Regions from separate parts of the Mus musculus genome. Here regions 1 and 3 are each reported to be linked to region 2. The links are microRNA targets in miRTarBase. Many come from high-throughput screens and were not tested one by one. Region 2 holds a microRNA gene; each other region holds the end of a gene's coding sequence.

Region 1 (10,635 bases), not on the chromosome of region 2:
CTCTCGTCCAGGCCCCAGTGTCCCCACCGCCGCCGCCGCCACCCGCCACGGCCCCGCCCCCTGCCCCGCGGCCGCGGCCAATCGCTGTACGGCGCGAGCCTCTCCGGCCGGGGGCGGGACTTGCGCAGGCCCGGCGCGCCTGCGCTCTGCGGCCTGCCCCTCGCCGGGAAGAGGAGGAGGTGGTGGTGGAGGAGGTGGAGGAGGAGGAGGAGGCGGCTCAGGGCAATCCAGAAGCGAGCCGGAGCGCGGGGCGCGAGTCGAGGAGCCCAGCCGAGCCGCCGCCGCCTCCCCGCCTTCAGCGAGAGCCCCGGCCGGGGGCTCGCCACAACGCGCCCGGGCCTGCCTCCGCGTCAGGCCCCGCGGGCAGTGCCAGGCAGCCAGGGGGAGGGCAGGCAAGTGAGCGCCGGGAGGAGGCGGCCGGAGCGAGCGGGCGCCGCGCGTGTGGCGTGAGGGGAAGCCGCTGGCCGCCCCCTTGGCCGTCCCTTCGCTCCCCCTCCCCGCTCCCCGCCCCGATCGCGGAGGGCACCATGTCTGCGCCGACGGCCAAAGCCAGTAAAAAGGAGCTCAACTCCAATCACGACGGGGCCGACGAGACCTCAGGTGAGGACCGGGCGCGGCGGGGGCCCGGCCGCGCCGCCATCTTTCGGCCCGGACCGCGGGGCTGCGGGGGGCGCGCGGGGGCCGGAGAGCCGGCGCCTTTTTTGTGTGCGGCCCGGGACCGGGGGGCCGGGGTGGCGCCGTGGCGGTGAGCGGTGCGGCCGAGGCGGGGGCGCTGCGGCCTGCGCGGCGGGCGGAGACCCCCCCTTCCCCCCGCCCGCGCTCTCCTCCCCCTCCCTCCCTCCCGAGAAGCCTCTCTTTATTGTGCTCCGCCATGATGCCTCGCTCCCATCAGCCGCCACCGCCGCCACATGGTGCGGCCGGACGCAGCCTTGCGGCCGGGCCTCTAGTGCCGCCCTGCTTCCCGCCCTGAGCCGGCGCTACCGCGGAACCGGGAACCGGGGTTTGGGGCGGGGTAGGGGCGCGGAGCCGGCGGGAGGATGCTCCAGGCTGCGCGGGTTGCGCACCCCACGTGGGGCAGCCACACTCGGGCGCGCCGGGGGTGCGAGGAATCTGGCCCCGAGGCCGTATGATGCAGGGGCTTCAGGGGCCTTTAGGACGCCTAGCCCTCGCCTGGAGGGTCGTTTCGAGCCCAGGACAGCTGCAGAGCCCGGGCTGGTTACCGGAAATGAGACGCGCGATCGGGCCCCTTCACGCCCACTTGGCTTTGTAAAAGCCTTCACAACCCTCGGACAAAAGGGCACGAAATAGGAGCACACCCCCTCTCCTTTTTATGGCTCCAAGTTTTTGAGTAGGGTTTTCCCACGAAGTGTCCTGAAATACTGCACGGCCGTATATGATGACCAATCTCATCAAGAATGGGTTGAAGGAGTAAGGTCAGGTTTACATTCTAAGTCTGAGAAGACGACTCCGGGAAGTTTGGTGACTAACTGGTCTTTGTCGGTGTATATTGATAATCATAACAAATTGAGAGCACTTTAAATTTTTTTAAAGCAGTTATAACAGTTGATAGTATCCTAATTTGTTTTATGGCCATGGACTAGTTTCCACACTAAGTGGCAGCTGGCACTGGCACCCTTTCTCTTACAATTGTATAATATTAGTAATAAACATGAAAAATTCTTGAATGAGGTGAAGCCTCTCATTCACCTTTAATAATGAAGGCCAATGATTGCACCTTTGTAACGAACGAAACTCTTTGAAAAGTAATCCAGGAGTGAAGCATTTTTCCGAGTAGCGGAGTAGATGCCTTAATTTGTGAATGGTAGGGTAATGAGAAAGTAATTCTCAACTGCGTGCTCGAACACGTGGGGAGCATGCTTTGTGGTGAGCTTCACTGTTGCAGTTCCCATCCTGGGATCAGGAAGAGGAGCTTGTAATTAGTGTTGAGTCTTATGTCCCCTTTCTTGTTTTGCAGAAAAAGAACAGCAAGAAGCAATTGAACATATTGATGAAGTACAAAATGAAATAGACAGGTAAAATATATTAATTCATGTTATGGAAAGTTCTCTTGTGGAACTGATTTGGCATCAGGTAACTACAGGAAGGTTTTGGTGAGCACACTCGTGTTTCAGTCTGGTTATAACTCCCGGGTTAATGTAATCTTTCCTCAGCCTTCCCAGGTGCGGGGGTACTGTAGGTAGGGTGCTCTTTCAGAGGTGCAGAATTAGAGTCTGGCTGCTGCTACCTGGGTTTTTTTGGTTTTTCAGAGACAGGGTTTCTCTATAGCCCTGGCTGTCCTGGAACTCACTCTGTAGACCAGGCTGGCCTCAAACTCAGAAATCCACCTGCCTCTGCCTCCCAAGTGCTGGGATTAAAGGCATTTGCTTGTTTTGTTTCTTGATTAACCTTCACTTACACTTTCTGCTACTGGGGACACAATAACTATTTGGAAATACAGTATACAGAAATACAATGTTGCCAGACTGGAGATGAGCTGAGTTAGCTCAGTGGTTTTGGTTGTCAGAGGACTGGGCTGCAGGGTAGCAGATACTCTGTTCCTAAGCAGGGAGAGAAAAAGCAACAGTGTTACCAGCATGTGTCAGTTGGGTATTTAGCCTTTCCATCTTACCGCCTTAGGTTTTGATTCTAGTCTTTATTTGTTTCAGACTTAATGAACAAGCCAGTGAGGAAATTTTGAAAGTAGAACAAAAATATAACAAACTCCGCCAACCATTTTTTCAGAAGAGGTCAGAATTGATCGCCAAAATCCCAAATTTTTGGGTAACAACATTTGTCAACCATCCACAAGGTATGTGGTGGGTCAGCACTGCTGGTCTGCTAGGACCTGGAGCTTGGGGAGCTCTGGGGACAGTTACCTCACAAAGCTGCAGTTGGGACAAGAATAGTCTGTTTGCAGTTGGTGGTTTTAGTAGAAAGAGCAAAGTGGAAGGGTGTTCGCTGAGTTTTTGAACATTTAAAAGGGTCATTAAGTAGTCTCATTCCCACTTGAACTGAACTGAGTTGCTTCTCTAGTGTCTGCACTGCTTGGGGAGGAGGACGAGGAGGCTCTGCATTATTTGACCAGAGTTGAAGTGACAGAATTTGAAGACATTAAATCAGGTTACAGAATAGATTTTGTAAGTACCTAACCTCCTGCTTAGCACAGTGAGTATGTAATGGTATGAAAGCTGATCATTGACTGCTCATCATTCCATATTTTACAGTATTTTGATGAAAATCCTTACTTTGAAAATAAAGTTCTCTCCAAAGAATTTCATCTGAACGAGAGTGGTGACCCGTCTTCAAAGTCCACCGAAATCAAATGGAAATCTGGAAAGGTATTTTGTATATCATGGCTGGTTTGCACACAGTGCCTTAGATGCTGGGTAACTATGCAGAGATTCCAATGAACAGAGGAATCGGGATAGGAACCCCACACTGCATTTGTCTTTGTGCTGCATCGTCTACAGTATCTGCTCAGGCTTTCCGGCTCCATTTTTGGAGACATAGGTTTGAATTGGAGATTTAGGGTGGAAGTCATTTAATTTTTTTATTTTTTATTTTATTTATTTTTTGTTTTTTTTCAAGACAGGGTTTCTCTGTGTAGCCCTGGCTGTCCTGGAGCTCACTTTGTAGACCAGGCTGACCTCCAACTCAGAAATCCGCCTGCCTCTGCCTCCCGAGTGCTGGGATTAAAGGCGCCTAGTGGAAGTCATTTTATGAAGTCAGACAGTTGATAGGTGTATCCTATGAAAGCAATTTACAAGACTTTACCAAATGGACATTTTATAGTTCTTAGTAATATGAACTTCTTCACTGGTCTTTGTTGTACTTTATGTGGGGTTTGGGTATTATGGGGAGCTAATAAAGGGAATGTTTGTCTTCATTTAGGATTTGACAAAACGCTCAAGTCAAACGCAAAATAAGGCCAGCAGGAAGAGGCAGCACGAAGAGCCAGAGAGCTTCTTTACCTGGTTTACTGACCATTCTGACGCAGGTGCTGATGAGTTAGGAGAGGTCATCAAAGATGACATCTGGCCAAATCCCTTGCAGTACTACCTGGTGAGTAAGCGTCAGTGGCTTGAAAGAGGTAATGTGTCCAATAGAATGAATGAGTCCCTAAAAGAACATTGCCTGCTGCTCTCAGGTTCCCGACATGGATGATGAAGAAGGAGAGGCAGAAGATGATGATGACGACGACGAAGAGGAGGAGGGGCTGGAAGATATTGATGAAGAAGGAGATGAGGATGAAGGTGAAGAAGATGACGATGAGGATGAAGGGGAGGAAGGAGAGGTAAGGAAGGAGAGGTACACCCAAGCCCCAGTATTTATAAAATATAATGTGTGATAGGGAACTGGCTGGAATAGTGGGACAGTTGTGGGAGTGGAGTGTTAACATCTGAGTCTTCCCTCTTTTTTAAATGTAATTATATATGTATGGGTGATTATGTATGTGTCTGCACTGCATGATTCAGAAGGTGTAGGATCCCATTGGTTTGAGATTGTGAGCCGCTGTGGGTCCCTCCACATCAGTGCTAAGTTAATGAAGATTCCAGTTTAGGCTGGGAGAGCTGGTGAAGGGCAGGGTGCGTGCGCTGGAGGCTGACTGCTCCTTGTTCTTTCAGGAGGACGAAGGCGAGGATGATTAGCACAGAAGACTGATGGATTCCAACCTTCTTTTTTATTTTCTTTTTATTTTTTAATTTTCTCCAGTCCCTGGGAGCAAGTTGCAGTCCTTTCCTCCCTGTCCCTCTGTGCTCAGTCGCCCTGTTTTGAGGTCTCAACATCATGGTTCTCAATTAATTTGGGGGGAAGTATCTTGAGCAAAATACAACAGGAAAAGAATCTCCGTTTCTGTTCTTAATTCATTTTTTATCCTTTCTTGTCTAAATTTGTGGATTCCACACCACCATGCTCTGTGGGAAAAAAGAAAAGCCCTCCAGTTCCCTTGGCTCTGCTGGAGGGCGCTAGGCCCCTGTGTAGTAGTTTATAGAATTTTAGCTTTTCTTCTTTTCTCTGTATATTGGGCTCAGAGATTACACTGTGTCTCTATGTGAATACAGACAGTTAGCATTTACCAACATGTATCTGTCTACTTTCTCTTGTTTAATAAAAAGAAAAAAAAAAAGAAAAAAAGGGGGGGTATAGACGGTGAGCAAGGGTGGGTTTGAGGTGTCTGGGGTAGGTGGGCATCTGACAACATGGCTTCTCCTTTGGCATGTTTAATTGTGTGGTTTAACAGACATCCTTGCAATTTAAGGTGACACTTAAAATAAAATTCTCTCCTGATGATGACTTGAGCCCTGACACTCAATGGGAGAATCAGCAGAACCTGTATGGTTTTATTTGGAGTTGACATTCTGTTGTAATTTTAATTTTTTTCTTTTTCTTTTTCTTTTTTTTTTTTTTTTTTTTGGTTTTCACTGGAAGGAAAAAGATGCTCATTTTAAATGTTGAAGTGTACAAGTTGCTTTGTTACAATAAAATCAGTGTGTACACAAAGGACCTGATGCTTTTCTGTCAACAGATGCTCAACAGACCTTCCAAGTTTGACTGCATAATGACATCACGTCAAACTTTGTCTCCCCAACTTCGTATTTTTTGATACGCACTTTGCAGGATGACCTCAGGGCTGTGCAGATTGAGAAAGGGATTTGAATCATGTCTTAACGTCTCCGTACTGAGTTGTGGGCACAGCTTGCTGCTGTGGACTTATACCCTTGATTTTTATCTCAATTTGGCATTTTCTTTTTAAAATGGGCCTTTACCCGGACCTCACGGCAGCACCTACCTGCTCCCACCGTTACTGACCCGTTGCTCTGTGCCATCTATGAGGGACAGCCGCTGACGTGTCCTCATTGGCAGTGTGAACTGTCAGGGTCAGCAGTCAGTGAGGTGGTTGGTAGTGTCTGTCACAGGTATGTAGCAGAAGCTCTCAGATGTGAGACTGACGTAGGTGGATGAAGAGCTGTCTGCTCAGCGCCATCGGGCAGAGGATAATGTTTGGGAAGCTACCTGATGCGTAAGCTTTTTAATGCTGTAAAATAGAGCTAAAATTCAATGCCACTTTTTCAGAGATGATTAATGGACAGCCTGGTCAAATTCAAAGCTTTCTGATGTATAAAACTTTATAAATGGAACTACTCCATCAATAGGCAAAGTGTAACCAAAATCTGTCTAGATGGATAGTGTGTAATTTCTGCACAGGACTCTGTTTAGTAAATACATCACTGTATACGTCAGGAATCTTGCTCCAATAAAGGAACATAAAGATTTTTTTTGGACTGGGGTCATTCTCCTTGTTTTGTAGTGACTTAGAAGATGCAGTCATGGCTGGGGTTCAAGTGATACTGGCTTGGCAGTAATCAGGGCCCAAATGGTGTGCAGAAGGTTGGTTGTGGACACCAGATTCATAACCATTTGACTCTGCATGTGGTTGGGGGAGGGTGCTGACCTAAATGAATACTGACCCCAGGAGAGAGAGTATATGTGTGTGTGTGACAAAATAGAAATAGCATTGTATCACTGAGCTATGTCTCTACACTCCCTTTTGTTTTTGTATGTGTGTGGGTTTTGGGGAATATGAGCTTCCCATCACCCACTGCACTGCGGTCTTCCTTATGTGTGCTCTGTGTGATTATTTGTATGAGTATTTTGCTTGCTTGTATGTCTGCAAGAACAGTTTTCTGGAAGGACGGGAGAGGGAGTTAAAAGTCCTTGGGCCTAGAGATTCTAGTTCCCCTGCTATTGTTACTATCTCACATAAGAATCAGGTGAAGCCATGCGGTAGTGGTGCACGCCTTTATTCCCATCGCTTGGGAGGCAGAGGCAGGCGGATTTGTCAGTTTGAGGCCAGCCTGGTCTACAGAGTGAGTTCCAGAGAACTACACAGAGAACCCTGTCTCGAAAAAAAGAAAATCAGGTTGAAGTAAGCCAAACCTGGGTTGTCATGAAGGGGTATATGAGACAGGGAAGGGCTAGCATAACAGGCCACATTGCTTAGCTACTGAGCTCTCAGACTGGGTGTGGGAAGTTAAGGTTTCATTGTTTTAAAATAAAAAATTTAGCTGGATGGGGTTGTGCATGCTTTTAATCGGTGGTCTAGTAACAGGCATGTTGAGAGGGTGACTTTCTGCAGCTGCTAGTGAGCTGCTTCCCATCCCAGTTCCAAAGCAGCGTTCCCTGTAGAGCATAGCCTGTGGTTGACATTCCCTGTAGAGCATAGCCTGTGGTTGGGTTGACATGACTGGGGCAGACACTGGAGGCTCTGCGTTCAAGGACATCTAGAGCTGCACAAAGCTCTGCTTTGTTTTGTGGGAGCCTGGCCTACAGAGTTCCAGGACTGCCAGAGCTACAAAAAAGCACAAGTTTAAGCTTTGGTATCTTTGGTTTTTTGAGACCTGGATGTCCTGGAACTCTAGACCAGGCTGGCCTCAAATTCACAGAAATCTGCCTACCTCTGCTTCCCAAGTGCTGGGATTAAAGGCGTGCGCCACCACTGCCCAGCTTGGAAAAAAGGTTTTCGATAACACCACAGCCCTGTGAGTACATCTGTAATGGGACCTGATGCCCTCTTTTGGGTGTGTCTGAACAGCAACAGTGTACTCACCTGTAAATATAAAGTCTTTTAAAAAGTTACTTTGTGTATGTGTGTTGGTGTTGAGTTTGTGTAAAATGTCTGAGCATATGCCCTGTAAGCGGATATTCCCTTGGCGGGGCCACTGGAGCAGGACAGTATTTGTGAACCACCTAATGGGTGGTAGGATCCAAACACTCAGACTCTGGTATACAGATGCTTGTAACCACTGAGCCATTTCCTGAGCACACACCCACATTTAATTGGGGATGGGTGGTCTTGTGTTTGTTTGCATATCTTTTGAGGTGTCTATATCCTGACTGTTCTAGGAATTTGCTATGTAGACCATGCTGGCCAGGTATCCAGAGATCTGCTTTCTTGAGTGTTGGGATTGAAGGCATGCTCTACCATCCCCATCTCTAATTTTTATCAGGTCTAATGGGTTGCAGTTACGTGATATAAGGAATTATAGGATGTTTCACAGCTCAAGCTACATCTGTACTGATTTTACCAGAGGCCTAGAATAGCTGCACCAGTTGGGTACAATAGGAAAATGTACCCTGTATGGAACCTTAGGCGCCTTCAGGCTGGCCAGTCTTAAAAGGCATCTTGGGTGTGGAGCCACATACTGGATGCTAGGCTTGCAGTCTGCCTGAGAATTTGAGCATAGGTGCTTGCATCAGACCGTTCAACTGCTCAGATGCCTTAATGATGGCTTCTGCTCCCAGCTCCTTTCCTTCCATGTGAGGGACTTACTCATTCAGCTTTCTGGTATAGGTGGTTCTGAAGCAGTATTCTATAGAGGGCTGGGGGCTTTCATTTGTGGTGAAGGGTTTGTCTACAATGTATAGAACCCAACATTTGCCCTCAGTGCCACGGAGGAAGGTAAAGCGTGCACATACAGAATCTTTTAGCCACTTGGAAACTACAGTCACTACCCTGGGAGTTGGGGTTGGGGGCTATAATCACATGTGCAGACAACTTTTCTTTCGAGTTGGGTTTGTGTAGCATTCATTGGCTACCTGGGACTCTATACTAGGCTATCCTTGAGCTCTACCTGCCTGCCTCTCCCTCATGATGGGATTGAGGACATGTGCCATCGATCCTGGCTCTTTTTTTCCTGTTTGAGATGACCAAAAGAGAGCTCTGAATCAGATTATTGGTTTAGCTTCTGGGAGTAGCAGTAGTACTTCCTGTTGAGTGAGGGTTTTTTTGTGAGGTGGGGGTGGGAGACAGGCTCACTCAAGAGGTCCATCTGGCCGGGCATGGTGGTGCACACCTTTAATCCCAGCAGAGGCAGGCGGATTTCTGAGTTCAAGGCCAGCCTGGTCTACAAAGTGAGTTCCAGGACAGCCAGGGCTACACAGAGAAACCCTGTCTTGGAAAAAAAAAAAAAAAAAGAGGTCCATCTGATAAAGTTGGACAGTGGTGGTGGCGCCCATCTTTAATCTTGGGAGGCAGAGGTGAACAGATCACTGAATTCTAGGCCAACTTGGTCTACAGAGCCATTCCAGAACAGCCAGAGCTACACAGAGAAACTGGGTTTCAGAAAAGGAAAAAAAAAATCCTTGTGAATGGTGGAATTACAGACATACACCACTGAGCCCCTCTTGAAATAACTTTTTCATTTTTAAAGATTTATTTATTTATTGTATATGAGTACACTGTAGTTGTACAGATGGTTGTGAGCCTTCATGTGGTTGTTGAGAATTGAATTTTTAGGACCTCTGCTCACTCTGGTCAGCCCTGCTCTCTCTGGCCCAAAGATTTTATAAGTATACTGTAGCAACAGAAGAGGGGGTCAGATCTTGTTATGGATGGTTGTGAGCCACCATGTGGTTGCTGGGATTTGAACTCAGGACTTTCAGAAGAGCAGTCAGCCACTCTTACCCGCTGAGCCATCTCACCAGCCTTCGGGAATATCTTTGACCTCTGAACTGTAGCACCGGCAACTCAGAGGGAGAGATTTATGGGTGTGATTCATAGTTTTCATAAGCTGTGGTTCTTTTTCTTGTTGCTAGAGGGTCAGAGATTTAAAACACTGCTCCTGCAAAGGACTTGGCTTTGACTCCTAGCACCTACATGCACTCAATATCTTCTGACCTCCAAAGATACAAGGCATCCACATGGTGCACACACACATGTGAACAAAACATTCCTATAGGCACATAAAAAAAGTCCTGCTGGGCGGTGGTGGCGCACGCCTTTAATCCCAGCACTTGGGAGGCAGAGGCAGGCGGATTTCTGAGTTCGAGGCCAGCCTGGTCTACAAAGTGAGTTTCAGGACAGCCAGGGCGATACAGAGAAACCCTGTCTCGAAAAAAACCAAACCAAAAAAAAAAAAAAAAAAAATCCTAAGAAGTTTTTTGTTTTTTTTTTTTTTTCTTTTTTTTTTTTTTTTTTTTTAATTTATTTATTATATGTAAGTACACTGTAGCTGTCTTCAGACACTCCAGAAGAGGGCGTCAGATCTTGTTACAGATGGTTGTGAGCCACCATGTGGTTGCTGGGATTTGAACTCTGGACCTTCGGAAGAGCAGTCGGGTGCTCTTACCCACTGAGCCATCTCACCAGCCCCTTTTTTTTTTTTTTTTTTTTTTTTTAGAAGTTTTAACAGTGAAAGTAGCCCTCTGCCTGGGTGTTGTGCCACACACTTTATCCCAGCCAGCACTTGGGAGGCAGAGGGAGGTGAATGGGTAGCTGAGTTTGAAGTCAGCAAATGCTATATGGTGAGTCCCTTTCTCGAACAAAAAGAGCAACCTCAGCAGCCTTCAAACGCACCATCCATCTCCTGCTTCAGCCTTTCTGGTGCTAGGATTGTAACCTTGTGTAGACTGGTTCCAGAGGTAGGTTCCAACTACTGCTACTCATAGGATGCCAAAAATGTTAGAGCCAGCCGGGCGTGGTGGCGCACGCCTTTAATCCCAGCACTCGGGAGGCAGAGGCAGGCGGATTTCTGAGTTCGAGGCCAGCCTGGTCTACAGAGTGAGTTCCAGGACAGCCAGGGCTACACAGAGAAACCCTGTCTCAAAAAAAAACAAAAAACAAAAAAAAAAAAA
Region 2 (10,635 bases):
TTACAAGTATGCAGCACCACACCCAACTGGTTTTGAAGTCTTTCCATTCAGTTCTGCAAGGTAGCCCAAGCTTGCCTTGAATTTCTCTGCCTGGGCTCCCAGGATACTGGGGTTACAAACAGGAGTGGCCGAGAGTGGCGTCTGTGAACTTCCACAGATTTCTCTAGCTGGACAGAGAAGGAAGTCAGAAATTCAAAGCAGGAAAAAGAGACACTGTGTGCCAGTGACTCAGGCCTAGGAGCCCAGCTACCTGGGAGACTGACGCAAAAAGGCCACAAATTCAAGGTCAGCCAGCCTGGGCAGCCTGTCTCAAACCGAAAGTAAGGCTGGCTCAGTGGGGAAAGGCACTTGCTGTGCAAACCTGAGGACTTATGTTCAAGCCCAGATCCATTGGTAGAAGGAGAGGATTGACTCTTAAAAGCTGTCCTCTAGCAGGGCAGTGGTGGCGCACGCCTTTAATCCCAGAACTTGGGGGGCAAAAACTGGTGGATTTCTGAGTTTGAGGCCAGCCTGATTTACAGAGTGAGTTCCAGGACAGCCAGGGCTATACAGAGAAACCTTATCTTGAAAAAACAAACAAACAAACAAACAAACAAAAAGCTGTCCTCTAACAGCTGGCACACACACAACCCCGCCTCCCCCCCCCCACACACACTCACACACACTCTCACAGTAATAGTAACCAGTGAATAAAAACTAAAGGGCTGAAGAGACAGCTCAGAGGTAAAGAACATTTTTTACTCTTGCAGAGGAGCTGAGTTCTGTCGCCAGCACCCACATGGCAAGTCAGAACCATCTATAACTCCATTTTCCAGGGTATGTGACACCCTCTCTGGCTTCCTGGTACCCAGGGTATGCAGACAACATACATGCACACAAAACCCATACATATAAAATATTTTTTGTTTGTTTGTTTTTGTTTGTTTGTTTGTTTGTTTTGGTTTTTCGAGACAGGGTTTCTCTGTGTAGCCCTGGCTGTCCTGGCACTCACTTTGTAGACCAGGCTGGCCTCGAACTCAGAAATCTGCCTGCCTCTGCCTCCCGAGTGCTGGGATTAAAGGAGTGCGCCACCACGCCCGGCTTATATAAAATATTTTTTTAGAAAATTAAAAGTAAGTAAAAGATAAAGAGTGGGTAGCTGTGTAGCTGAGTGGCCATCTGGTATGCAGAAGGCCTCAAGTTCAACCCCTACTGCTGCAAGCTGGCCGGGGCACTCAGTGACTTCTAGAAGCCGACTGTGAATTGAGAACTAGACTTGTGAATTGAGAACAGGGTTGCATCAGTGGGGCGGACCTACATTTGGCAACTTTGTGGTTGTGTAAGGGTATCATATTTTCTTAGGAGATACATGTTGAAAATTTTCATGGTGAAGGGTCATGACCTGTATGCTGGTCTCTAGTAGTTCGGGAAAAGTGTGCGTGAGGGAGAGGGGAAGCAGATGTTACCCTAGAATGCCAGCTGTCCACGAATCCAAATAAAGGGTCCATGGTTGTTGATTGTTCTGTTCTTGCAACATTTCCGAAGGTTTCACAATTTTCAAAAAGAAAAACAAAGTGGCCTGAACCTAAGAACCCCTCCCCTCAACATTGGAGACTGGCTTCCCATTGCTTCTAGCCCTAAGGAGAACAGGTGCTAAGTCCATGTATACGGAAGGTGTGAAAACAATTATATCTTCATTCATACTGGAATACTGTCCAGTAGTGAAAGAATAAACTAGGGTTCCAGAAACTTCAGGGGAACTTGGCCAGCCCCAACCACACCACTCCCTGTATATTAACAGTGGCGACCCAGTATGTGGCTATTACACGAGGACCCATTTTCAAACCCACTCAGTGGATGACAAAATTGTGGCTGGGTATAGCTCAGAGGCGCCAGGAGAGACCCTGGGGAGATGCTGTGCTTGGCTTAGGAAACAGCAGAAGGACGTGGGGTGGGTCGTCTTGAGGCATGAAACAAGAGGTATCATGGGTGCCCCCTGGTGGCGATCCTAGGGAGTGAGGCTTGCCTAAGGCCAAGGTACCTCCTCAGGGTCGGGTGGCTTTCTCCCCTTTCTGTATGTATGTGCTCCTGGCCAACTGCCACCCTTCGCTGCAGTAAAAGCTGAACTCAAATTTATCTCTCAGGGATCCTTCTTGGTCATGTTCATCCAGCTCAGACTCCTTTCTCTACTGGCCAGTTCTTTGCTGTGGGATTGTGAGTCAGGAGGTTCCTGGGTGCTTGGCTAGCATAGCAGTTCCACGTGTGTGCCATGCTGACGATGGTAGGGAAGACAGCCGACGGCACCTCAGGATCTTCTGTCCCCAGGCACTATGCCAACCCTCCTCATAATGTCCCTCTCAGGAATCTATTCACACAAGTGGCAGGTCCTCCAATAAACATTAAGGACTTCCTGTGTTAGTCTTGGAGGCTACAGGGAACACAGCCAGTGACCGTCCCTCCCAGGGGTCCACAGGTTGTAAAGGAAATAGACACTAGTGATGAGGTGTGACAGGGTCACTAACAGGCCACCTTACACCAGGGAATTGGATGGAACAAGTGACTCAAGCAAGTTTCCAGGGACACAGGCACGTATCCTGGAGGCAGTGAGGTATCTGAGTGGAGACTGGGAGGGAGCCAGCAAGGAACGATGTTCATAGGTCTAGGGTCTGCTGCAGAAAGACCACAAGTCAACAGGGGTCAAGACACTGGGCCAGAGAGAGCCGGGGGTGCTCTGAGTTGAGACATTTCCCTGAACCATTAAAGGCTTTTATGAGCTTGGTGGAGACAGATGGAGGAAACCCTGGCCAGGGGCAGCCTGCCATCCCCTTCCATCCTAAGCTAGCGCCTGGGATGGAGTAAGGTCTGGGCCCAAGAGTGTCAGACTACAGCGTCCATCTGTTCAGCCAGGGCATCTCCAGGACCTACCACACCGGTAGGTGTGGAACCAGCTTTGCAAAACAAGTAAGCTGAGGGCTTTGTTCTCCAGAAGATGAGAGCAGGCAAGGATAAGATGCACAGTCAGACAAGGGAGGTGGGAGAAGCATTCTGAGGATTCAGGATTCCCTCATCTGCATCTTAGCTGTGGTGGATAGGAACCCAGGGGTGGAGAGAGCTGACGTAGTGGAACCAAAGACACTCAGGAATGGAACCTGAGATAAAGCTGGGACCTTAGTCACCCATGTTTTTGCACAGGTTTTTAGAGAAGGTCCTGTGTGACTTTGGCCAAAGGCAAAAGGGTGGCTTCAAGTTCCAAGCCAGCCTGGGTGATAGAGTGAGAGAGACCATGTCTCAAAAATATACAGAAAAGGGGGACTGGAAAGATAGTATGTAAGAGAACATGCTGCTCTTCACAAGGAGGCACCTGTGCCAAGGGTCTCAGGACCATCTGTGACACCACCTGAGGGTATCTAACCTTACCTTCTGGCTTCTGTGGGTGCCTGCATACATGACTGCATGCACACCCACAAATCTTTTTAATTAATTAATATATTTATCTATATTTATTTACTCTTTGTGTGCAGCATGTGTGTGGAAGTCAGAGGATAAACTGTGGGAGAGTCTCTTCCCACTGTGTGTGTACCAGGGATTGAATTCAGTCTTTAGATTTGACAGTGTCTTTTTCTGCCAAGCCATCTTGCTGGCCCCACATATCTTTTTAAAAAAGACAAAATGACACTTGGTGTACACCTTTAATACCAGCACTCAGGAGGCAGAGGCAGGTGGATTTCTGTGAATTAAAGGCTGCAGAGCAGTTCTAGGACAGCCAAGGCTACACAGAGAAATCCTGTCTCAAAACACACCAACAAACAACATAAAACAGAGAATAAAGTTGACGCTTCACTGGGCTATACAAGACCACCAAGAAAATATTTAAAAAGAAAACATTTTTAGTAGCAGGAACCAGTTTTTCAAAAAGACATTTCCCCAAGCCCCACTGTTAAGAAAAGGACTTACAGGTACACTAGAAAGCCTGTAATCCTAGCTCAGGAGGAGAAGGCAGGTGGATCTCCAAGCTCTACACAGTGAATTCCTGGCCAGTCTGGTCTACATACTGAGACCCTGTCTCAAAAACAGTGAAATAAAAAGGGTAGGAGTGGGGGCTGGAGAGATGGCTCAGTGGTTAAGAGCACTGACTGCTATTCCTAAGGTCCTGAGTTCAACTCCCAGCAACCACACTGTGGCTCACAACCATCCATAACAAGATCTGGCGCCCTCTTCTGGAGTGTCTGAAGATAGCTACAGTGTACTTACATATAATAAATAAATAAATCTTAAAAAAAAAAAAAAGGGTAGGAGTGGTGTGACACAGGTTGGGATTACTGCATGTGTGGTCGGTCCTGCCCTCTCAGATGGTTCTCCATTAGCCTTGGCTGGACCTCAAAAGTGAGACTTGCAAGAGAAAGGAGCATTTGGAGTGGGCCCAGCCTGGGCCCTAAAGTCCCCTGCCATTGGCAGTGCGAGATGGAATCGCAGAATGTTTGCAAAACGTAATTGGTGCATCTATGGGCTTGAGGGCTTGGGGCCGAGCTCATGGGTGGTAAGCATATGGACACACAGCACAGATTAACTGTGCCCAGCATGGGACTCAGTGGGCAGTGGTTAGGGGGCGCGCCTGGGAGCAAGCCAGAGGCCCTGGGAGCCCTGGTGGCACTTGGAATCAATCACTTTTAAGAAAAGCCCTAGGCTTGGTGGTGCACACCTTCCCAGTGCCTGGGAAGCAGAGGCAGGTGGAGTTCGAGGCTGGCCTGGTCTACACAGTGAGTTCCAGGATGGCTAGATCTACATAGTGAGACCCTGTCTCCAAACAAAAACAAAAACAAAGCCCAAGAAGAATCGCAGGCTGGGAGTGTGTTCCTGCCTAGCATGCCCAGTACCGTGAATAGGCAGGCACGGGACATGCTCACAATCTTAGCATTTAGGAGGCATCACCCTACACTACACAGTGTGAGGCCAGCCTGGGCTACATGAAGTCTCTGAAACAGACACAGACACTGCTGTTTGGTTTGGAACCAGGCCGATGAGTGCCACCCATGGCACTTCAGGGACGAGCTTGGGCTGAGCCTGGGAGGAGATGAAGAGTGCTCTTGGTGCCATGCACAACGGTCAAAGCCCGAAGACCTATGCGCTATGCAGGCAGAGACAGGTTCAAGGCTAGCCTGGACCACACAGCAAGTTCCCGCCAGCAATCAAAGAAGAACCTGGCAAAGAAGCTGGGAAGGGAACACACAGGTGTCCTGAAGGGCAGTCAGGCAAGGTTTCACAACTGGAAACAGGAAGGAGGGAGTGTGAGGAAGGAGGAGGGACCTTGACTTTGATACCCTCCCCCACCCTGACTCCCACCCTGCTCCTTCGAGTCGTTATGGCTGGCATTGAGGTGAACATACCTGTGACCTATGGAATTGGCAGCCAGAGGAGAGAAAAGAGTACTGGCTGTCAATTCATAGGTCAGAGCCCTGTGCACGCCATCTTGGCAGCCTGCTGACAACCCACCATTCGTTGCCTTCCCATGCCTGAAGACTGCTGTGTAGGTTCCTCCTGGCATGCTGGGTGGCTGTGGCTCCTCTTCCTCTGCTGGTACTAGCCGCCACCCCAGATAACAGCAGCCCCACTGGAACCAGTGGGCACTTCCACATGGAGTTGCTGTTACAGAGGGTGGGAGCCACGGGGGGTCAGCACAGGTGCAGGGACCTCCTCTCTGCAGGATCCTGGGAAGAGCCCCACAGCTGCCCACTCATGCCCGCAGGCCTCTCGGCTCCAAGTCCACACTTTTTATTGAGGCTTCTTATCATTCATCCAAGGCCCACACCTGGCACCCCATAGGACGCCAACCTCCCTGAGCGAAGTCCAGGCTCAAGCCCAGAGCCGCCTCATCAGACTGGGAGCGGCTCTGATTTACAACTCTACTGCAGCCCACGGACACCCACACCCTCGGCTCCAAGTTCCCTTCTGGTTTCCTCCTTCCCTTCTAAACAGAGCTGAGGCCTACGTTCAGGCCCACCCTCCTGGCTGCAACCATGGGACAGAGGGACAGCAAGAGGCAACTGGATTGTAATCTTGCCTGAGGGTGGCCCTACCCAGGAAGCTAGAGACAAGAGAAGACTGAAGGAACAGGAGGGATGAGAGAAAGAGGGAAATGAGGCTGAGAAGGAAAAGGACAGACGGGAAGCTAGAGAGGTGAAGGGAAGTGGGGAGGGGGATAGGTGGGCAGGGACTCTCAGGGGTAGAAGGCTTGGCTTAGGGCTCTGGGCTTAAGCATCAGCACAGGAAAAAAAGGAAAACGTGAGAGTGGGGTGCTGCTACCCAAGCAAGCTCAGTGAGTGCCCAGAGCAGGGCCATAGGTGGCCAGCACCTAGAACTCAGAAGCTCGGTAATCTAAGCCAGCAAGGGCCTTGGAGCTGTGTGACCTCAGACAAGTAGCTTAACCTTTCTGCAGCACTACACTCCCTACCTTTGGGGGCCATCTTGCACACTTTCCTTCCACCCATTCTGTCCCTGCTGTGACAAGGAGTTTCGAGGTGGGACCCCTGAGCTGACCCATGTCTGGGAATACATCTGCACTCTCATCCCTTCCAAGATTCTGGCCCAAGAGGCTTCACTGATGGGGCCGTGTTTGTCCTGCTGGGACTCAGGATTCTAGAAAGAAAGGGAAGCCTCTAGAGTATGCTTGGATCATGCCCCATTCGGCAGTGGTAGATAAAGGCCCAGAGAAGCAGCAGAGCTGCCAAGGGAGATGCCAGACTAGATGGTTTCCGGTTTCCCCACAGCCCAGTAGCCCCCTCAAGGCCCAGCCTCCTGTTCCATGAGGCCCTGGACATCTAGAAGACAGACATGGCTGCTTAAGAATTCTGTCTCCATAGAGCAGGGAAGCACCAGCCACTTTACCCAAAGGTGGAAACAGAGCCACAGGACAGAACTTGCTCAGAAGGGCTGATGGCTTGGCAGGAAGGCTTGGAGTCGGGAGCCTTCAGCAGCCTTCTGGAGGACAGCCTGGGAGCTCTTACCTTGCACCTAGCTGGCCTTCGGGGCACAAGGAGGAAGTGGGGCCACCCTGGGCCAAGCCTTTTGAGCCGTTGGCCCAGCCCTGGTTGCGTTAATGATTAGCCCACTGCCATCAATACTGACCCTAAGAGGGGTCCGAAGGGCAGCAGACCTGGACTGTGCCCCAGCTGGCAGGGCGGGTCCAGGAAGTACCAGACTGGGTCTTCAGCTACCCAGTGCCACCAGACCCTGGCCACCCATGGGCTTCATTGGCTTGACCTCATGCCTAGTCTGTTGGCCCTAGCTAGCCAGACAGCCAAACTAGGGGATGGGGCACAAGGAAGTCCTCTCATGCTTAATACTCAGGTCTATGATGGGGGCCAAAGGAGGAGCGACCACAGCTAACTTCAGGGGGAACCAGGGATGCCCAACAAGTGATCCTTCCCACAGGCCCACCCACTTCCTGGCAGTGCTACCGAGGGTGGCTCCCCGTGAACAATGAACGTGGGATGGTCAGCAGGCATCTTCTGGACAACACAGCTTTGTCCCAGCATAAGAAAGCCACTCTCTCAAAATGGTGGGAATAGGCCTCAACCTCCCCGAGTGGGACACCCTGGACACTGCCACGGCTGGCAGACTAACAGATGTTGCCTTAGGTCACAGAGATTCCCAGGACAGGCCTGGAGCCCTGCTTCGCTCCAGCCTCAAGAATAAGGCTGGAGCCTGGGGTCTGACAGGAATAGAACCAAGGAATGGGGTTTGATGCGGACTCTCAGGGACTCTTCCTCTGGGGCTGCCAGGCAACTTCCCCCAGCTTCACTTGGAAGTAGTGCCAAGATGACAGGCACCAGGATGGTAAGTAGGTTGAACCCAAAGCCTGTTTGCATCAGAAGGCTGAGGGTGAAGTGTGGCGCCTCCTGGTGGCAGGAGGTGTGTACTGCGTGCAGAAGTGGGAACTGGCAGATCAAGGCTTAGACAGAGTGGGGCAGACTGGGGTCTCACAGGTACAGAGGACCTGGACGTGGCCTGGGCTGGCGGTGGGCAAGTTTATTCCACTTCATGCAGACACTGACCCACACGCTCAGAGATCTTAAAAATACACCGACCCACATGGCATCTATCCCCCACCTCCCCGTGAGACACGGAGAGACACTTGGCTGAGTGGGGTCCATGGGTCCAAAAGCCTCCATCCTCATTCTGGAACAAGGCAGCAGTGTGGGCCCAGGTAGCAGGGAGAAGCAATGTCCTTTCTCCCCAGATGAAAGTGCACAGACAGGGCAGAGGCCCCAAAGCCGGGAGGCCCCACTCTCTCGGCCAGTTGGCAACAAGCAGGCTGGGCAGGTATCCTTCACAGTGGCCATCCTTTGAAGGACCTGGTGGCCTAGCTGTGGGTCACAGCAATCAGGAAAACAGGGAGCTGGTGGCACCACTGTGGCTGGCTGGACACGGTGAGCATGTTGGGACAGTGGGTGGATCTTGGGTGCCTGCAGTCAGTCCTGGGCCTCCTCCAATCGCCACTTGAGAGCATGGTCCTTGTGCGCATCTGGAAGGATCTGGTTACGCATGCCCCCTAGCACGTTGGATGTTGCCTCTGTTGCTACGATTATTGGTTTTACCACGGTTGGGGGGAGCTGTCGGATCACACCCCCCACGGCACCTGTCAGTCCCTTCTGCTCATGGCCCCTGGATGCCACATCACAGATGGTTTGAGCTGTATCCAGGATACCCTGTGGAGGTCAGAGGTCAGTGAGAATGAGGGGTGGGCATGGGGGCACCTGCAAGTGGGTCTAGGGTGGTCCTCACCTCTCGAACAGCATCATAAGCCTTAGCCATGCCTTCCCGGAGGTCAGCAGGTTGTTGACCTCTGCGTAGCTTCCGCGAAGAGCGCTTGTCTTGTAGGGATCGGGAGACAGGAGAAGCCGGGGACAGGATGTCATACACTGTCTCAGCTGTAGCCTGAAGGACACCAGGGTTGGATGATGGCAGGGTGGCCTTCCCTTGCAGGCCACCCTGGGGACCAGACCTTCCAGCATGACTATTCCTGTCCCAGCCAGTCTTTGCCTCACCCCCCCACTCCCCTCCCATCACCTACCGAAGAGAACTTCCTACATTTTTGTTAAATATTCATTTATTTTAATTTGTGTGTGATTCCAAGTGATGCAGTACCCCTGGAGGCCAGAAGAGGGCACTGGATCCTTTGGCGCTGGAGTTACAGCCACCCATAAAGCGCTAGAAACTGAGCCCCAAGCCTCTGCGAGAGCAGCTTCAGCCTTAACTGCTGGGCCACCTCTCCACCTCTTCAAAGGACCTCCTTAACTGAAGGAGACATTTATACACCCTTCCAGGGCTGGTAAGATGGCTCCCAAGGTCAAGGCATTTGCTGTGAGGTGACCTGAAATCAATCCCCAACCCTAGAGACTCACATGGTAGAGAGGACTGAGTCCCAAAAATTGTCTGACCTCAAATACAAGCCATGGCACACACACAAAGAATAAATAAGAAAGAAGAAGGAGGGAGAGGAGGAGAAGGAAGAGGAGGAGAAAGAGGAAGAAGAAGAGGAAGAAGAGAAAAGTCTTTTGGGCTGGGTGAGGTGGTCATGGTTGAAGGCACTGGAAAACTTTCCTGTGGGCCTCCCACCTAGGCTGGGCATGCTGACACCTGCCGGAGCTGTCTAGTTCCCCACTAGAGGGCACCCCTGTACAGTTATCAGAACAATAGAGCCTTCTGCCCACCACCCCTCTGGCCTGTGCCCCCTCCCACTGCAGACCCCTGGAACTCTGCCCTCCCCTCTGAGGGCTGAGCTCAAAGCTCTCTTGATGCAGTGTTTCCACATACCCGCAGACACACCCAGTCCTACCCCAGGACTCAATCACTCCCCTGAAGACCAGGGCTTTGGTAGGGGGTGGTCTCTGGGGCTCAGTGAAACACAGAACCTGGAAGAACTAACTGGGATGGGTCTCTGCGTCTGCTCCCTGGACACGCATCACTTCCAGGCAGCTGGAGCATGTGACATGGTCGGTTCTGACGGCCCAGATGCACTTTGGCTCCACCATGGGAGCCTCCATGGCATGTGGCTTTAACTGTGCCCAGCCTTTTCAAGTTTCGGCTTTCAGGGGGACTGTGCAGACAGAGTCGGGAGCCCAGGGACAAGGGTATCTATTTCCTGTTCCGGCCCTGCACTCACCTGGATGGCCTGGACCAGCCTGTTGCTCAGTTCCAGAGCAGCAGAGGCTGTGGATGACCCAAAGGAGGCAGCCCCACGCTGCAGCCCCCGAATGAGGCGCCCATCTTTCCTGTACTGCTCGATGGGTAGCCACAGCAGGTCCCGGAACCCTTGGACTAGAAGACAGGATTATCAGAGAGGCCAAGCCTGCCCTGGCTTTTCTTCTCTGCCCAACGACCCTTTCCCAATCCAATTTCTTTTCCTTCCTTCCTTCCCTCCCTTCCTTCTTTCCTTCCTTCTTTCCTTCCTTCCTTCCTTCCTTCCTTCCTTCCTTCCTTCCTTCCTTCCTTCCTTCCTTCCTTCCTTCCTATTCTTGAGACAGGGTTTCTCTGTGTAGCTCTGGCTGTCCTGGAACTCACTTTGTAGACCATGCTGGCCTCGATCTCAGAAATCCGCCTGCCTCTGCCTCCCAAGTACTGGGGTTAAAGGCCTGTGCCACCACTGCCTGGTGCCAG
Region 3 (10,635 bases), not on the chromosome of region 2:
TATTCAACAGTTCATGGACACCTAGGTTGTTTCTAACTTCTGGGTATTATGAATAGAGCATCAATGAACATGGATGAGCAAATATCTCTATAATAGAAAGTCAATTTCTTTTGGTATATGGCCAAGTGTGATATAGCTGGATCTTGAGGTACAGTTCAGCTTCCTGAGGAACCACCAGAGATTTCAGTAGAAGATTTTTAATCCAGCAGCATGAATGCTATGGCTTGAATATACACACCTGTAGTACACACCTTTAATTTCAAATGATGTAGATAAGGTTAGTTTTTAGAAGGAAACGTTTGAAAATTATGTCTCATTGAGGGGCAGAGAAAGTAACAAAGGAGAGAAAGATTTAACAGAATGAATCAGAGATATGATACTCCCAAGTCTCATGAGAGCAGACAGGAATGAGGTCAGTTCACTTGAGTTCAATTTGGAGTTCAGTTCAATGCAGTGAGTCCAACACAGTGCAACTGAGTTTGTTTGTGAGTTCATGTAGTTTAATGCAGGTCAACAGAGGCAGTAGAAGACAGAGAATAAGGAGTTAACAGATTAGAACAAATTGCCAGAGTTAGTCTGAGGCCAAGCAGAGCAATTAAGTGTGAAGCTGAGAAAAGCCAGACTGAGTCAGTCAGCTGGGAGAGGAGTTTGAGCAAAAACAGCTGAGTTGAACCAGCCAGCCAGAGTTCAGAAAGAACTAGAAAGGGTGAACTAATTCAGAAGTAAGCCTCCAAGAAAACAATTACGTCAGTTGAATAAAAGCAACAATTACAGACTTCCACAGTGGCTGTACAATTTTCATTGCCACCAGCAATAGATTTGTGCTACCCTTACCTCACATTCTTGCCAGCATGAGTTGTCATTTGTTTTATTGGTCTTGGCAATTCTTACCGGAGTAAGATGAAATATCAAAGTAATTTGAACCTGCATTTCCCTGATGGCTAAGGATGTTGAACATTTCATCTCTCAGCTATTTGTGTTTCTTCTTTTGAGACTGCTGTTTAGTTTTGTAGCCCCAATTTTAACTGGGTTGTTTTAATTTTTTTCAGTATTTTATATATTTTAGGTGCTAACCCTCTGTCAGATGTAAAATTGATTAAAATCCATTCCCATTCTGTAGGATATTCCTTTGCCTGAAAGATGGTGTCGTTTGGCATACAGATTTTCAGCTTTACTGGGATCCCATTTTAATTGTTCTTAGTGCCTGTGCTGTAAGTGTCCTGTTCAGAAAATTATTTCTTGGGTCAATGTCTTCAAGCCTATTCTCAACTTTACCTTCTACAGATTCAGGGTATCTTATGTTGAGTTCCTTGATCCATTTGGTTGCAGGGATATAGGTATGAATCTATTTTCAGTCTTCAACATGTAGCCATTTTGGCTACATGTTGACCAGCACCATTATTTGGAAATGCTATCTTTTCTCTAGTTTTTTGTTGTTGTTAATTTTTTACTGTTTTGCGTCTTTGTTAAAAACCATGTGTTCAAAGGCATGTAGACTTATTTTTGATTTCTAACGTGTCTTTTTATGCCAGTACCATTTTTTTTCTTACTATAGCTCTATAGTACAAACTGAAATCTGTGACAGGGATACCTTCAACAGTTTTCTTATTATTTTGAATTAATTTTAGCTATTTTGATTTTGTTTGCTCATTTACATATGAAGTTGAAGATCGCTTTCTTCAAACTTTGTGTTGAAACTTTGATAGGGAATGCACTGAGTATGTAGATTGCCTTTGGTGGGATGGCCATTTTCACAATACTAATCTCACTGATCCTTGCTTGAACCTGGAGATCTATCTTCTGGTGTCATCTTCAGTTTATTTCTTCTATGCCTTAAAATTAACTTTACTTTTATTTGTTTGTCTAGAGATACTTCAAGATAATTTATATAATTTCCTTTGAGGCTATGTTGAAGATAGTTTCTTTGCTTCTTAGCATATCATTGATATATAGGAAGGCTACTAATTTTTGTATATTTTTAGATTATTCTTTGATCAAATATGAGTTATAAAAGTTCCCTCATGCAAATTTTATAGTATTTTATGTATACAAATCATATTATCCACAAGTATACTTTAAGTTCTTCCTCTCCTTGTATTCTCTCGATCTCCAGCAGTTCATATTGTTCTAGCTATTGAACAGATATGGAGAGAGTGGACATCCTTGTCTTGTTCCAGATTTTAGTGGTAATGCGTTGAGATTAATGTAGGTGGTGGGATTGCTGTAAATTACCTGTATTATGTTGAGGAATGTCCCTTTTATCTCTAGTTTCTCCAGGACTTTTATAACAAAGAGATATTGGATGTTGTTAAAAGCATTTTCTGCACTTAAGATCACCGTGTGTTTAGCCAAAATACCCAATAAAGGAGAGATAGAACTTGTAGAGATCATATCCAGTGGTTAGGCGTGACCCCCAGTTGAGGGATGGAGCCACCCACCCATCTCAAAAATATTAATCCAGAATTGCTCCTATCATAAGGAAATGCAGGGACGAGTGGAGCAGAGACTGAAAGGTCATCCAGAGACTGCCCCACCTGTGGATCCATTCCAAATGTGGATACCAAACCCAGACGAATGCCAAGAAGCACTTGCTGACAGGAGCCTGGTATAGCTGTCCTGAGAGGCTCTGCCAATACAGATGGCAGGTGCTCACAGTCAACCATCAGACTGAGCACCGGGACCCCAATGGACGACTTAGGAGAAGGACTGAAGGAGCTGAAGGGGTTACACCACCTTTGGAAGAACAATATCAACCAACAAAATCCCCCAGAGCTCCCAGGGACTAAACCACCAACCAAAGAGTACACATTGCTCCAGCTGCATATGTAGCAGAGGAAGGCCTTATCTGGAATCAATAGGAGGGGAGGCCCTCGGTCCTGTGGAGGCTTGATGCCCCAGTGTAGGGGAATGCTAGGGAGGTGAGGTGAAAGTGGATGGGTGGGTGGAGTAGTACCCTCAGAGGCAGGTGAGAGGGTATATGGGGTTTGGAGAGGGGAAACTGGGAAGGGGGACATTTGAAATGTAAATAAATAAAATAACCAATAAAAAAATCACCTTGTGTTCTTTGTCATTCAGGCTGTTTATGTGGTGGCTTATTGATTTATGTATGTTGAACCACCCCTGCATCTGTGGGATGAAGCCAACTTGACTGTGTTGCATACAGACAGCCTGTTTTTATCAAGGTCAAACCTAAATTCAGAGCAATCTGTAACTCAATCCTCCCCTTGGCATTTGTATGTCCCTACGAATACTGCAAGCCAATCTGGTGGCCAGAAGGAAAGTGCCTTTAAGTGTATTTTGGAGGGAAGCATATTTTCAGGAGGTGGCTTTGATCTACCATCACCTCTAAAGCTCTAAATAAGGCCTGACAATCCCAGTAACACCACTCTTCCTTTAAATATGTGAACCTATAAAATAAAATTGCTTTCTTTTCTCCATAAATCCCAGAAAGTCCATATAAATCTCTCTACATGGGCCATTGCTCTTTTCTTCTAGGAACTCCAAGTGCTAGCTTTTGTTGTGTTCAACACAGTAATCATAAGAATCTTTTGCTGTGTTCTAGAATTTGATGTACCATATTGAGAAATTTCACACCCATATCTCAAACAATTCTTACATTTGTTGATATTTTGTAATGTTTTTGTTGCTCTATTTCAATTTGAGCCCTAAACTTATTTCTTGCCATCTACTCTTTTTGGGGTATTTTTGTTTTTCTAGCATTTTCAGTTGTCATTAAGTTACAAATATGATCTCTCTAGCTTTTGACATCCTTAAGAAAAACTGTACTCCAGACAATAGACCTCAACATTAAGTCAGCATGATCCCCTTGCCATTCTGTTTTTCCTTTGCAATGTTTCCTTTGTCCACTGTCTGCTCTCACCTCTTATTGCTCTGTAATAAACTCTACACTTACATAACTTGTTTGAATTAATTCAGAAGAGAAAATAAAGACCAAGAAGCTCAAGAAAGTTCTGTACAGTAAGATGATCTAAGATAGCTACACTTGGTGTTGAATAAAGTTTTAAGAATATTGGCAAACCAAAGTAGAAGTATAAAATGTGATGTCATTTTATCAATTTACCTATAAATTGGGGAAGGGTGTGGGGTGTAAATATTAAGCCAAAGCTTGGAACATCTAAAAGAAATTGACTGAAGCACTGTTGTGGCAATCATCTTAAGCTCTGGAGAAACCAGGGTGTTCCAAAACTTCCAAGAGAAACAGCATTTAAACTGAAGGCTTAGTATCCAGCAGACTGGGTAAGCTGAGAACAAAACAACAAAACAAAAACAACAAACCTTGAAAAATGCTTTTAAAGGCCTTTGCTTCCCTTTCCAGGGAGATAAGCTCAGTTTATGTTGTCTACTACCTGAGGCTATCAGGCTTGTATCCACGGGTTAGTGAGTACATTGCACTTGACTAGTTAGTTGTGGTTTTTTATGCTTTAGCTTCGAATATCTTCTTGGGTCCTGGGCAACTAGATATGCCAATTAAGTCTTATTTTCCATGGTCAGATGGTTTTACTTGAGATATAGGATTCTAACTAACATGTCAAGAAAGTTAACAGAAATGTAAAAATACACTGAAACTTTAAATATAATTAACCAGGGTTCTATTTTTCAAAGAATCCATTTTTAGTATTTGATAGTGTGTGTATGTGTGTATATATATACAGATACATATACATGTAACACACACACACACATATATATACAGACATAAAATTCCATACTATACTTATTCATAACATGCTTGCATTCTCAATCTTTCTGGTTTTTATGTATATAAAGGTTTACTTGAAAGTTTTGCCCAGTCCTGCTATTTATTCTTAGTTCCATTAGTTTCAGCTCATGTCTTAATAAATATATTTGAAATTACAAATTCTATTATGTGTCTTAACCAGGTCTTACAGACATTATTGCACCGTTTTCAGTTTGAAATGTCTTAGCTTAGTATTTTTTTCCATTTAGCAGGTAGAAAAACTGGGAAACTAATATACTAAATATTAGATTCAATACTGATTCAATACTTATATAAGTAGAGACTAACTTCTGATAATACAAAACTGTGGTAGCATTTAAAGGATGTCTAACTCAATTTGGGAACAAAATTCCTGATGAAGTAGTAAAATCAGTAGCTGGCTTGACACTAATATCTCCTTTGAAGTCTTTGAGACCAATCACAGGTACAGTCACAGTGACATAGGTACACTCACAGGGACATCTAATTGAGCTGGATGATTCTGTTAGGTGACACCATCTTGACTCTGTGGTGCAAGTGACAAAAGCCTATATAAACAGCAGAAACAAATATATCAAAACACTGTAACCAAGTTTCAAGCATGGCAGGTGGTCAATAGGTTTTCAAGAGTCAGGAGAATATCATTAGCAGTATTCATCTCACCTTTATCCTTTTGTACTATGCTTGGTTCACATGGTTGCCAGCATTTCATGGGATCCTGTCTCCCAGTTTTAAGAACTTAGAATCAACCTGAAAAAAAAAAAATCCTAGAAACTGGCTGATTTGAATCACACCCCTCTATTTTTACTGCAGTCACTGAACAGGAAAGAGTTTGGTCTAAGAAAAGTAACCTCAGGCCATCACTTTCCTCATACATGGTTTATACTGAAACCTAACAGTAGGTGTGGAGAATGAAGGGATATATTCCAAAGGAGACTGCTAGTTCATAAGACATAGTGTTCTAGAGAAATAGTGTATTATATGTCCTGTGTATCTACATTATAAGTGAGGTGGCTACCTTGTGTCTGAAAAATCGACTATAATAACTTTAACCTTGCCATTACACACAAAGAAGTGGAAGGAGCCATTTTAATTGGGGTGATAATGGGAATGGGGCTTTACACAGGTAGAGAGGAGATAAAATAATTTTATAATTTGAACATATCTTTGTAATAAAGAGTCCTTTAAGGGAAAGGTAGAAGAAAGAATGTAAGATGCCTGAGAATTAAAAAAAAAACACTAATTCAAATACACAGATTTCTTTTTCCCCCTGAAAGATAGAACATGAAGTTGGATGGGTGGGAGGTGGAGGGAAAGGAGATGATATAGAAAGAGTTGGGGGTAGGGAATCGTGTAAAAAGAATAAAGTCAAAATATATTGTATGAAAAATCCAATAAACAACAAGAACAATCATTTTAAAAAGCATAATTAGTAGGGCTATTAAGTCATGAGACTGGCATTTAGTAAGAATCTATCTATCTATGTCCCTCTTCATCACTCACTTTAATTGGAACATTATTAGCCATTTCCAATTAAATGGAAATGACCTTTTTTGGAGAATATAGAGAAAATGTTGAGACTTTTAGAACCCTTGTGTAGTAACAACAGTAGGACTGCAGATGTAACACACACACACACACACACACACACACACTCACTTGCCACTTAGCTAGAATACACACTGACTACACAATGTTTTCCTAATCTAAATTTTCCTACAGCCAGGACAAACAGCTGTGTAAACCACACAACTTTCTAAGATTGAGGTGACTTTCTACATACTTAAATAGCAAGCAAGACAGAGAAACATTTAAAGCTTAATTAATAACAACAAGAACCCTTGATATGACAAGTACAGTATCTATAATATATTACAACATACATATTACAGTTAAATTATATGTACACATACAGAGTATCAAAATACCTTTTCTACTTTGGCAACTAAATACTCGAGATTAAAAATAAACAAGTTCAAACATTTCTACATACAAAATTTTTAGGTTTTCATTTACTAAAAATGAAATAGTACAAGTTTGCTACCCTAATATATACATCAAAATAAATACTTTCAATTGTAGAAAATAGAAATGGCTAAAAGTCTCAAATTTCTTAACATTATAACAACAAATAGTTTACCCTGAATTTGTAGTATGTTTTTGTTAAAAAATATATTTACTTAATCTTAAACTCAAGTCAATGTACTTTAATTCTTTTTGAAGAGACAAAATACTAAAGGACAGGTCTACACCAGCTAAGAAATAAAATTTACAGCCATATAGGTATAAATGTAATCATTTAAAACACAAATGCAGTATTATAAAAATCTATAAGACACCCAGGTACACTCCACAAAAATATAAATGCACATATGCATTCTACTGATTATCAAAAACTCTGATTTATGTAGCTTCTACAAAATGTCAAAGAATAGGAATTGTTTTCTTTTTTATGAAATGATCTCATTGTGCAGCTACAGGCTAGCCTCAAACCCACAGAACCTGCTTCTGTCTCCAAAATGCTGGGCTTGAAGGTCTTGCTAACACACTTGGCCTCAGTACTGTTTTCCTAATATAGTATATAAATATTTCTACCTCAACCACAAATATCAGTATCTGTTAGTAAAAAATGGAATATACATAGAAAGGTAGGCAATGTCATGTATTCAAGTTTCCAAGTTTGATTTCAATTCAAATATTTTCTGTAACTGATAAACTACATAAACAAAAGTAAAAAGATGAAGTAAACATCTTATACATTGAAGAAGTGCCCTCTATAAGGTCTTCCATAATGATGATAGTAAGTATCTGATCACATTTCAAAGTCTTCTGAGTCAGCAATTTCGTTTCTGCTACTTCAAAAACCATCATGACTTTCACCAACAACGTTGCTCTAGTGTAGGTTTACATGAGGCACCATGCCACAGTGAGAGCAGCGACAATACCATTCAAAATTGCCATGCTGTAGCCCATGTGGAAAGAATGTCCAGTCAGTTTCCTAGTGAAAAAGGGAAAGAGCACAAATTAAGAAAAGGGAAAAAAAGAACATGTAATTTGGTATGAGAAAACGAGTAAGATCTAAAATAAAACTAGTAAATACTAAAATACTTAAGATATCACAATGAGTTGTCATATCCCCCCCCCACCTCCCCCCCCCACCCCCCCCAGACAGTGTTTCTCTGTGTAGCCCTGGCTGTCCTGGGTAGACCAGGCTGGCCTCAAACAGAAATCCACCTGCCTCTGCCTCCCAAGTGCTGGGACTAAAGGTGTGCACCACCATTGCCTGGCTAGTTGTCCTGTTTTATACATTAGTGTATAAGTTAAAAAATACTGGACACTTGCAGGATTTGTACAGGATTATCCATCTTAAATTCTCTTTTAAAAGTCTTCGTAGGGACTGAAAAGGTGGGTCAGTGGTTAAAAGAGCTTCCTGCTCCTCCAGTGGACTGCCCAGCACCCAAACTGGGTGGCTCATTATTGCCTATAATACCAGCTCCAGGACATCCATAGGCATCTGAACAAAGGCACAAATGGCAAACACAGCACATACACAAACACACATTACAATCTTAAAAATAAGCTAACAAGAAAGTCCTGATTTCCTGGATAAAAATGTATTTTTAATTTTATTAGTACAAAGTCGATTGTGTGTGTAGCATCAGCAAATTTGTTACATTACAAGCAAGTCTTCTACTAATAGCACTTCCCTGCCCTCATTCTTATTTAGCGCTAGCTTAAATAGATGTTTCTCCAGTATTTATCCTGGTCATATAATTTTTTTTTTCGGTTATAGAAAGAAGCTATTCCTTTGAGCTTATGTGAACGAGTTAAACTTGAACACAAATGTCAGCTTTCATCTTAATATGACTATTTAACTGTAGTAGCTTCCAACAAGTTTCTAAATGACAGCAAAGAAACATCTCTAATTTATGATTACTGAGTTTCAACTACTTCACAAAATTTATGTACATGTAATTTTTCCTGACACTTGCTTCTTATAAGTTTTTTGCAGGCTGGGCAGTGGTGGCGCATGCCTTTAATCCCAGCACTTGGGAGGCAGAGGCAGGTGGATTTCTGAGTTCCAGGCCAGCCTGGTCTACAGAGTGAGTTCTAGGACAGCCAGGGCTACACAGAGAAACCCTGTCTCGAAAAACCAAAAGAGTTTTTTGCTTGTACTTTTCTAAGTATTCCATTAACTACATTGTAATGATAAGTTTTTTGCTTATTGTAGCAGAATGGCATATTCTTAAAAAGGGGACGGCAAGATAGCTCAGCAGTATATATGTCTAACATCTGAGTTTAATACTTGGAACCCATGGCAGGAGACTCACAAAAGGTACATTCTGACTGCCACACATGTGACAGGTAAAAGTGCCTGTCATGAAGTTTGATGAACAGAGTTTGATTCACAGAATCCAAGTTGTTCCCTGACCTGATAGCCAAACTAGCATATAAGCAAACAAACAATAAATGTAAAAAGAAAAAGAAATGAAGGTTGTCCTCAAATATTGCCAGAAGGCCAAGTGTGGCAGCTGGCTGTGGCTTCCTGGTACAGAGCTACAGGTCTGGAGTAAGTTACAAAGGAATGGAGGCAGGCTACAAGGAGAGGCTGAAAGGGGCTACCAGAGGGAACTAAACTAGGAGGATCCTGGATTTTCACTAAGATGTGAGTAGCAAAGGAGTGGAGATAGGCTTGGGGAGGAGGGGTCCAGGCAGGATGCAGCAGGACTAATGTTAAGTCTGAAGAGATTGCAAAAGAAGACAGGAAAGAGGATGACACTCTCCTACCTGAGTTCTAGCCTACTGTAGAAACATAAACTTCTGATTCTTCTATCTCTACCTCCAGAGTGTACCACCACACCCAATTTATGCAGTCAGTGCTGGTATTCAAACTCAAGGCCCCATAAATGGTAAGCAATCACTACAAGAACTAAGCTATATCCCTACCTCTAAAACTGCTTGAGTACCAAATAGAAAATTAAAAGAAAAAGAGCAGGTGGGCGTGGTGGCTCACACCTTTAATCCCAGCACTTGGGAGGCAGAGGCAGGCAGATTTCTGAGTTCAAGGCCAGCCTGGTCTACAGAGTGAGTTCCAGGACAGCCATGGCTATACAGAGAAACCCTATCTCGAAAAACCAAAAAAGAAATATTGTGAATAATGTCAGGTTTCCTTAACAATACAAGTTTTTTTTTTAATAAAAGGTTTATTTATTATTATATCTAAGTACACTGTAGCTGTCTTCAGATGCACCAGAAGAGGGTGTCAGATCTCTTACAGATGGTTGTGAGCCACCATGTGGTTGCTGAGATTTGAACTCAGGACCTTCAGAAGAGCAGTTGGTGCTTTTTAACCACTGAGCCATCTCTCCAGCCCCAATACAAGTTTTGATTTCTTAAATTTAAGAGACACGGCAAGGTTTACAATAAAAAAGAAGCAGTATGGTGTATGTACAGAACCAGAAGTAGAACTCTCAAGATTTCATTTTATCCCTTTGTAGACTTTCTTTCTAGACTGTCTCCTGGTCTTTGTGACTCCACAGGCCTGTAAAACCTCACTCTATACTGCCAAAGTGGCCAAGAATCTGAGAATAGTAAGTCATGAGCCTAGGGAAAACCTACTACTATTATTCTGTTAAAGGATCTTAACAATAAAATGACTCCTGAAAATATACTGCAATACCCATAGATCAGAGTATCCCTCAACCATCATCAGAGAAGTCTCTACTTGTAATAGCTGGGAACTAACAGAGACACTCACAACTAAACGATGTGCAGAGAATGAGACTTGAGTACACATCCTTGAGTGGGTTGTCTTTATCAAAACCCTCAAAGCTCAGAGATCTACATGGAAGAGAAGGCAGAAAGTTTTTAATAGCGAGAGGTGATGGATAACTCTA

What was found. Region 2 holds the annotated microRNA mmu-miR-194-5p (UGUAACAGCAACUCCAUGUGGA, at 5,606-5,627, opposite strand). A microRNA usually pairs through its seed, bases 2 to 8, with sites in the 3' UTR of a target mRNA and lowers its output. Matches are read on the target gene's strand: a 7mer-m8 pairs with bases 2 to 8, a 7mer-A1 pairs with bases 2 to 7 and ends in A, and an 8mer does both.
Region 1: miRTarBase lists Set as a target of mmu-miR-194-5p. Seed matches in the 3' UTR shown: 7mer-A1 at 5,474-5,480.
Region 3: miRTarBase lists Arl6ip6 as a target of mmu-miR-194-5p. Seed matches in the 3' UTR shown: 7mer-A1 at 6,360-6,366.

Annotation. Positions count from the first base shown.
Region 1 is chr2:30,066,294-30,076,928 of GRCm38, forward strand. It overlaps Set (SET nuclear oncogene), which reads left to right and starts at 181. Exons shown (of 8, transcript NM_001204875.1): 1 at 181-600; 2 at 1,976-2,033; 3 at 2,667-2,809; 4 at 3,034-3,137; 5 at 3,225-3,338; 6 at 3,892-4,062; 7 at 4,148-4,294; 8 at 4,626-6,284. The coding sequence starts at 528. The coding sequence ends at 4,649.
Region 2 is chr19:6,259,650-6,270,284 of GRCm38, reverse strand. Mir194-2 (microRNA 194-2) reads right to left here and starts at 5,642; the gene lies at 5,557-5,642. Mir192 (microRNA 192) reads right to left here and starts at 5,441; the gene lies at 5,353-5,441. Atg2a (autophagy related 2A) reads right to left here. Exons shown (of 40, transcript NM_194348.3): 38 at 10,142-10,296; 39 at 8,761-8,913; 40 at 7,981-8,684. The coding sequence ends at 8,448. Gm14963 (predicted gene 14963) reads left to right here. Exons shown (of 2, transcript NR_168273.1): 2 at 1-1,491.
Region 3 is chr2:53,214,396-53,225,030 of GRCm38, reverse strand. Arl6ip6 (ADP-ribosylation factor-like 6 interacting protein 6) reads right to left here. Exons shown (of 4, transcript NM_022989.4): 4 at 5,810-7,736. The coding sequence ends at 7,643. Among named protein-coding and RNA genes, the nearest start is that of Arl6ip6, 28 kb to the right of the region's middle.